Drosophila melanogaster: one gene and its partner. Changing the gene in region 1 together with any one later gene gives a genetic interaction. Each region holds a gene or a part of one and is shown in the gene's direction. Other genes may lie near its edges. The genes, in order: IRSp53 and ena.

The links.
Region 2: of IRSp53 (region 1) and ena, changing one enhances a phenotype caused by changing the other (phenotypic enhancement), as found in Drosophila melanogaster (one study listed by BioGRID).

What each region holds. Positions count from the first base shown.
Region 1 is NT_037436.4:11,133,775-11,137,702, forward strand, and holds the start of IRSp53 (insulin receptor substrate 53 kDa), read left to right. Parts: upstream 1-2,274; 5' UTR 2,275-2,514; intron 2,515-3,928. Other genes in the region: NaPi-III (Na[+]-dependent inorganic phosphate cotransporter type III), read left to right, coding at 1-226; CG14143 (uncharacterized protein), read left to right, coding at 1,223-1,567.
Region 2 is NT_033778.4:19,153,012-19,156,939, forward strand, and holds the start of ena (enabled), read left to right. Parts: upstream 1-2,209; 5' UTR 2,210-2,463; coding exon 2,464-3,356; intron 3,357-3,928. UniProt on the Drosophila melanogaster protein: Functions, together with Abl, trio and fra, in a complex signaling network that regulates axon guidance at the CNS midline. Required in part for robo-mediated repulsive axon guidance. May be involved in lamellipodial dynamics.

The sequences.
Region 1 (3,928 bases):
TCATGTGAGTGCATCAGGTCGCAAGAAGAAGAGTCAGCCGAATGATCAGACCGATAAGGAGACCCATAACGAAGTTGCGCCCATGGATGATGGCAGTGTCGATTGGCATCTATTCCGGAATATTGCCTATGCATGGATCGTAACGGTGCCGGTTACGGCGCTCCTCAGCGCCGGAATGATGTACGTGCTGTGTGCCATCGCCGTGGACGACATGGGTGGGGCCTAAAGATGGAACAGAGATTGCCATTCAATTATTAATTGTAATTGCAAAACCAAAATAATGTTTCGTAATTGTACAAGTTGGAAAACACAAAACTTAAATATTAAACACGCAAAAGGAAACTCAAGAAAAAGTGGTAAAATCTTAACTAAATTACTCGCCTAACTAAAGCATTGTATTTAGCTCATAGAACGTCTCTGAGTCTAACTGATATTAATATTATTTAATATGTGTGTACGCCAAGCAAAGCCGTGATTTGATTTTATATCTATACACCTCGATTTGATTAGTTTATACCCGAACTTCACATTACTTAAAATGCATTTGAGACTCATTTGTAAAGTTAGTCCCAACCACTCAAGTTATTTTACACCAATTAATAGATCAGAGCAAAACATTTGAATAAAATACAAACTATGTGCAACAGAAAATGTTTATACGTTGTGGTAAGACCAATTTTTATTTTATATTATCTTTTTTTTTCGTGTCAATTTAAATTGCCGTCTTTATTTACAATTCGTACACTTGGTTCCAAGTTCGGTTCGTAACAATTCAAAACCTTATGTATAAGGCTCTCCAGTCCGATTTAAATTTACATTCCATTGAGAGTCAGTTCGTAAAGTATTTCACTATGTAGTTATACGGAAAATAAATACGAAGTTATGACACAAAAAAAAATCTTTTATTTCAATACTTTGGCTACCCACCCAACTTACATCCGTTTCTCTAAGAAATTAGTATTTTAAAAATAAATGAATGGCGTATAATTAAGTGAGCCTCTGTATAAATAGCCTAATTATACATTGCGAAAATGTGGTATTGATCTCTGTTTAAGCAACCCAAATTTACTAAAACATCACATTCCGATTCGATTTAAAACGACTGTTTGCTGTTTGCTTAGGGAAAACATATATGAGATCTTCCTCTTGATTTGGCTATATATACGCCAGCTTCGCCCAGAAAGAAGCACATCAGTCATAGCAGTCTAAAACATTGTTCAAGATGCGATCCCAGCTAACTATCTTCCTTGCCATCGCGGCTTTCGTTTCGACTGCCTGGGCACTGACTTCTCCCGCCACGGTCACTGTTTCATCGGTCACTGTTTCATCGGTCACTATTCCATCGGTCACTATTCCTTCGGTCACTATTCCGACCACTGATACAGACACGTCCACCACTTCGCCTTCGGCAACCGGAAGCAGCACCACCGTGACTCCCACCACCAAGAAACCAAAGAAGAAGGCTACCGTTGTCCACTACAAGAAGAAGACCCACAAGTCGAACCGACGCCGCAAGTTCCGCCACTCACGTGATGGAAAGAGGAAGAACCGATCGAGTTGGGAATAAGAAGGACATCTCGTTTGGAACACCGCAGACCCTGAAGATCTACATGAACGACCCACACGCACCTTGTTAATCCTAATGTTACTTTACTCTTATTAAGTTCGCAATATTTAAATAAAAACATATTTAAAATTTTTTGTTTAATTATTGGGTTTTGTTTTTTACAAACTATGCTTTCAAAAACTAAACAAGCATTAATTCCATATAAATACCATGCAGAAAACGATATAAAGCTAACTGATGGACTTATACTTAGAGGATTACTTAGTAATATGTGGAGTAGACTAATAGTTATGGTTCAATAGTTATTCTTGATTATTGTCATAAGTTTGCACTTTTGCAAAATGGCTTTTGAGAACTATATGCACATGTTTAACGTGGCGGATGAGTAATATTATTTCTTAGTACTTGTATATTTGGAATTAAACATTTTTTAGTCCACATACCATTGGGTCGGTGAAAGTCTGAAAAACACAACACTTAAGTAAATATTTAACTTTAAGATTGTTGTTAAAGATAAAACATAGTATTTCGGCTTATAGCTCGCTATAACTTCGGGCCAGAAAGATGTCAACTTTTTGGCTTAATCGAAATGGTCAAGAAAGCCCAACAAAAGTTTTGTTCCATGTGAAAAAGCTTTGGTGGGAAAGCTTTTGAGCGCGTGGCGCTCGAAGAAAACGGTAGCCGCAACTTGGAATCAGTTGAGTTTTAAGCTTCGATGCGTTCGGTTCGCTATTCCCGATACGGCGTGATTCTAAACAAAACAAAAAAAAAACCCGGTTTGGTTCACTCTAAACTCGTAACGATCCCAAAAATTCGACATTCGGAGTGCTAAGTGCTCGGATTTTTGAACCAAAACATAATTGTGAGAATTGAGAAACTTGCTTAGTGTCATTTTTGGATTTACACATTCGGATTTGTACTGAACACACATTTCTGGCGATTAAAAGGTAATGGTTTTGACTTTACTGACCTATCTATCCAACTATTCTATATCTATATTGTAATAACTGGGTGGGCGTGCAACTTCCGTTCAATATCCGGCCCACCTTTCTATTTGCCACTTTTCTATGAACACCACTTGCAGTTCAATGGATTTCCACTAGTACAAGTATTACTTAATTTCTTTGCTTAATCCGATTTGCGTGCATTGAACTTTTCATCTGGGGGTTTTTTTTTCCCTGTTGATGTTGTAGTCGCTGTTATTGTTTTTTATCTTTCGTTTTTTTTTTTGTGTTAGACTTTATTTTGCACCAACTTCTTGTGGTTGATTGTTTTTTTTTTTTTTTTGTTTCTCCATCTCAGTCTGGCGAGCCGAACGGCTTGTTCTCATTTTATTTAATGAGTTCCCCGGTATTTGAGCCTTTGTTTTGCATTGTTCGAAACCCTGTTTATTCAATAGGTTTAAAACGTTTCAGCCATTCAAGCCAAAGCGAAATTATTAGCAAGTGTATTTGACTTTAATGCGGCATTCTGAATGAAATGTTTGGTAGCCAAATTGTGTGTATTTAGGTTTTTGTAGTTTCTACACAGCACAATTGATTGTTTTCAATCCACTAAATGTCACGGCAATAATTTTGTAATATTTTAAATAGAAGTTGGAAACCTTTCAATAGTAGCAATATTTTTTGTTGTATTTTTTCTTATTTCTTGTAATAGAGTTATCATAGTGAACCAAAGATGTACTAAGTAATAGCTTTCTTCCGTTGGAATTCCCTGCTGACCACACAATATTATTAACTCTTTTAGCAAAATTAGAAACCAGTTAAACTCCAGCCAATCGTAGATCGATGTCAAATTTCTTAGCCCAGCATGTGCGACCCATTTAGGTTGGTCCATCAGCCACCTGCTCGATCTCCCGGACAGTTGACCGGGCTCATTATCCGACTACCAGCTAGCGGTTTTCCAAACTCAAAAGCCGATGCCGACACCTGAAGTTCGTAGACCCATTGGCAAATCCAAAACCAAAGCCCAACCCAAACCCAAAACCCAATCGCCACGAAAGCCACAAAGCCAATTCTGTGCAGAACAAAAGCCAAACGATCGGAGCCATTAAGCCTGGCCAAGAGTTTCCAGTTGGCCAAAAGTCATTAAAGACAAAAATCTATTGAAAACGGCAAACAACACGCCTTAAAAAATACCTTGGCTCTCGATGATGGCGATGGTGGGGTAAAGAAAAATATATTTCTGCTGCTGCACACGGCAGTTTGGCCAGGTGGTATGGATGTATAGATGTCATGCCCCGTCTCTAAAACCCCCAACCCCCACCACCACACCATGTTAATTACGCGCTTATCAGTTCGTTACAAACGCTGGAGTTTCTCTACATGCCAGGAGGAGAGTCCAGCACAACCGGCAATTACG
Region 2 (3,928 bases), on another chromosome or scaffold:
AAATCGAATTTCGGTGAAAGAACCGTTTTCGAAAAAAAAATGAAAAATCCTCCAAGAAAAGTTCTTATGTTTACCGGTACAAAATGAAACGAGTTCTGAGTTTACCCGGTCTTATTTGTGTTTGAGTTTAAGTCACCACGAATGTGGATATATGTAAATAAGTAAATATGAGTGGTTCGTCGGAACGTTCAACGTTAATCCTTTTGGCTACGAGCTTGATTGAAGTCGGTATCCATAAGCTGAATGGATCCCAACATATCGTCGTCACCTGTGCCAGTGGAATGGAAGGTCTGCGATGAGGTGCTGCAATGTGACCCAAATCCAGGCTTTGGTCGGTACTTATAAGTTAAGAAAAAAGTTGGTGTACAAAAAATGTGAATGAATGTATTTTAGATTAAATTTTTACCATCATAAACAAATTCGTTTACAGTTTCCTTTCTGAATTTGTGGTTTGCAACACCTTATAAGATCAACATAAATGTTGAAACTAACTGAGCACGGATTTTCTCGCAGTGCAGGCACGGCAGGAAGCGCTCCTCCCGTGACGAGTTCATCGCGCAGTGATATTCGATATTGATTGAGACCCCCACTTGTCCCCCAGCACTTCTTGATGTTTGCCATGGGCAAACTGTTTTGAGTCTCCTGACTGCCTGGCAACCTACTTTGTGACTCCGCTGCTCACATGTGTGGGCCCTGTTTGTTTTTATGATTTTTTTTTTTCCAGTCCGATGTCTGCCTGCGGGTCTTTATGGACAGCCATATGGATTACTCCAGTACTCGCATTCGTAGTGCCCCTTAGAAATATTTAGTTGCCAAATCATTTAAGCCGCGGCACACGCTCTGGTCCAAAAAAAAAAAAAAACAAAACAAAAATGGTAAAAAAAAAAAACGAACTGAACCATTCTGACAGAGCCATTAAAGCTAGCCGGTAATCGGTTGGCTCAAATCAGAGATCGGTGAACCACCAACAGCCACTACACAACCACTTACAATGGGCCACAATAATGTTAATTGGAAATAACGTTTAGGAATTGTTGTGGGGCAAAAAACCGAATCAGACTGAAACATAAGCCAGCGAGTCAGAAACAGAGGCTCAGATCTCTGAGAGCTGAGTGCTCCAAGTTGAGATAGACAATGTTGTATATGAATTTTTCATAACATGCTACAAGCTGTGCCTCCAGGTACCTCCCCCCCCCCATTTCCCGCCGCCGTCGCCGCTTTTCGCCGCCAAAGAACAGTTGAAATGAAGGAAACAAAAACGCAGCGAGCGAGGGAAAAATACTTGTAATAGTCACTCGAGGGGGAAATATAAATTATTGAGCTCGTTTCTTAAGTAATTATCGCACTGACGGACGGAACCAACTTACTGAATCACAAACACTGACCGAATGACTAACTGGCGGATGGACAGACTGACCAACTGGTTAAACGACGGTCACGAGACGTCGGCGAGGCTTCAAGATTGCCGGCAGAAAAAAGCCTCGGGCGCAACTTTGTAAGATTCGAGAGCTTATCGCATACCCTTCGAAACTGCATAAGAAATTTGAGATGGAACTTGCGCAATTTCATAGCTAGGCGAAAAGTTGTAAGGGTATGCCCTACAATTCATTGTATCATTGTAGCTCTCTGAAGATATTGCATATTTTAGGGAAACTGCTTGAAACTCTGTTTCAGTGCCTGAAAACTTCTCAAAATATAAACTTTTGAGTATTAAAATAAAATCGCCTTTCAATAATCTGAATCTTACATCCTTCCCTCAACGAAAATCGTGTAAAACGAGAACGTTTTTTCTCAATAGGTTCTATGCAGACTACTTGCCCTCACGTCTTTTAATTGTCATGCCATTTGGGAATCGTCTGAAGCGACTGTGAGTCAGGTTGTGGTCTCTCCATCTACCTGGCCATTATGCTCGGTTCCCAGCTCGGGGTCAATCCAGCTCAACATCCATAGCACATCTCATCATTTCTCATTATTTTATTGACTTTGAAGTGTAATTATTTGCCTTTTAGACGAATTCAAAGCGCAGCAGCCGCTAAAATGAGAGAAAAATACAGATTGTGAGCCGATACTCAGTTTCTCGCTCACGTCTTTTCTGCTCATTCGCCTTTAGATATATTTTTTTTCTCGGCTTTTGTTTGTCTTGGCCTCGACTGAGAGACCGTTTCGGTCTCTGAGACCCAGTCGCGATCTCGGTCTGGATCTTGGCTTTAGTCTCCAGCGGGTCTTGAGTGCGTTCAGACGTGTGCAGCTGAGATCTTGGAACGACGAATGGTGATCGGTGATCTCTGATCAGTGACCAGTGGGCAGAGAGCGAATAGCCAAGATCCAAGAGCCTAGGCAAACATAAATACGATACATCCGATCCGATCCGATCGTTCGGTTTCATAGTGTGCTTAAGTGTGGGATCGATCGTGGGATCTGTTTAGTGTCTGTGACGCCTCTGCAAATATTGGCCAACGGTTAATGGCCATGAAGAAGCTCTACGCGAAGACCTCGTTCACCAGCAAGAAGCCATCGAGTGCCGCCAATTCCACTCCGATATTGGCCTACCACCAGCAACAGCATCAGCAGCCGGGCAATGGCATTTGCGAGTTCCAGGTGGTGGCACCTGGTCACTCCGGTGAGCTAATGATACGCCGCAGCCAAAGTATGCACCACAAGATGTCGCCTCCAGTCGGCGGCCTGGGCTCCAAGTCGGAGTACTACAGCATTGAGGAGCTGCAGGAGCTGGATTTGCTGGACTATCGTCATCCCATGTACCATCATTATCAGCAGCAGGAGCTGAGGCAGCGCTACCATGAGCACGAGCAGTTGGTGCTGCAGTTACCCAAGGCTACTAGTCCAAAGGCAGGACCCATCTATGAGGCACCACAGAGATCTCAGCAGCAGCAGGATCAGATGTTGTATGTACCAACGGCAGCGCAAAGAGATTCATCATCAAGTGCTGCAGCCACATCTATAGCCAGCTCATCTACCCTAACTTCATCCCCATCGCCATCCTCCTCTTCATCTCTGATCTTTTCCACTTTGCGCAAATGCGTTTCGCCCTCGAATCCCTCGGTGAATCCGAACCAACCCTCAAAAACTCAACCCTCCAAACTGGGCTGTTCCATGTCGTTTTCAATTAGAACGACAACGGCAACAGCAGCCACAGCCGCAGCAGCAAATGCAGCAACAGCAACACTATCGACACAGCAGCAACAACAGCAGGCACAGCAGCAACACAAGCAACATCTCTATAGCAACATACATCATTATCTGATCCGACAACAACAGCAGAAACAACACTACACATTACAACGTCGCCATAATTCGGTCAAAGATAAATTCATTGGGGGCATTACAACGATTTTTGCGTATGTGTAACCCACTTCCCTATGCGTCTGTCCTTGGTTGGGTTCTGTAATAATTCCCATATTTCCCCACTTTTCTCTACTATACTTCTTCAATCTCAGCACGTAGTACTTGGCCCTGGACTTTTGAATGCGTTTTACAGCTTGGTGAGATCGTTCGTAAATCAAAGAACTCTTAACCCCCACAGAGCAGCCGCCGTCGTACTCTCCGGTTTAATCATAATTATAATTTAACGCCAATTAAGCTGGAAAACGCTATCGTGTGCACACGAATCTGCATCTTGCACTCGGCTGCAGTTTAAAAACTTAAGCTTAACGCACGAATAAATCCCCAAGGCATAGAAAATTTCACCTGCCACATATTGAAAATGCTCCCAAAGCGATTTTCCAGTGGCTCAATTATATTAGCATCCCATTTAACTGGCCATTTGCGGGGCACTTTTCGATTTTCATTTGGGTTTTCCACTCAGCTGCACAGCGCAAAAAAACGATTAAGATGTTAGTTTTTACTGAAATATTTAATTGCTTTCTTTAACGATTAAAATACTATGTATCACATGTGTCGATTTTACGAT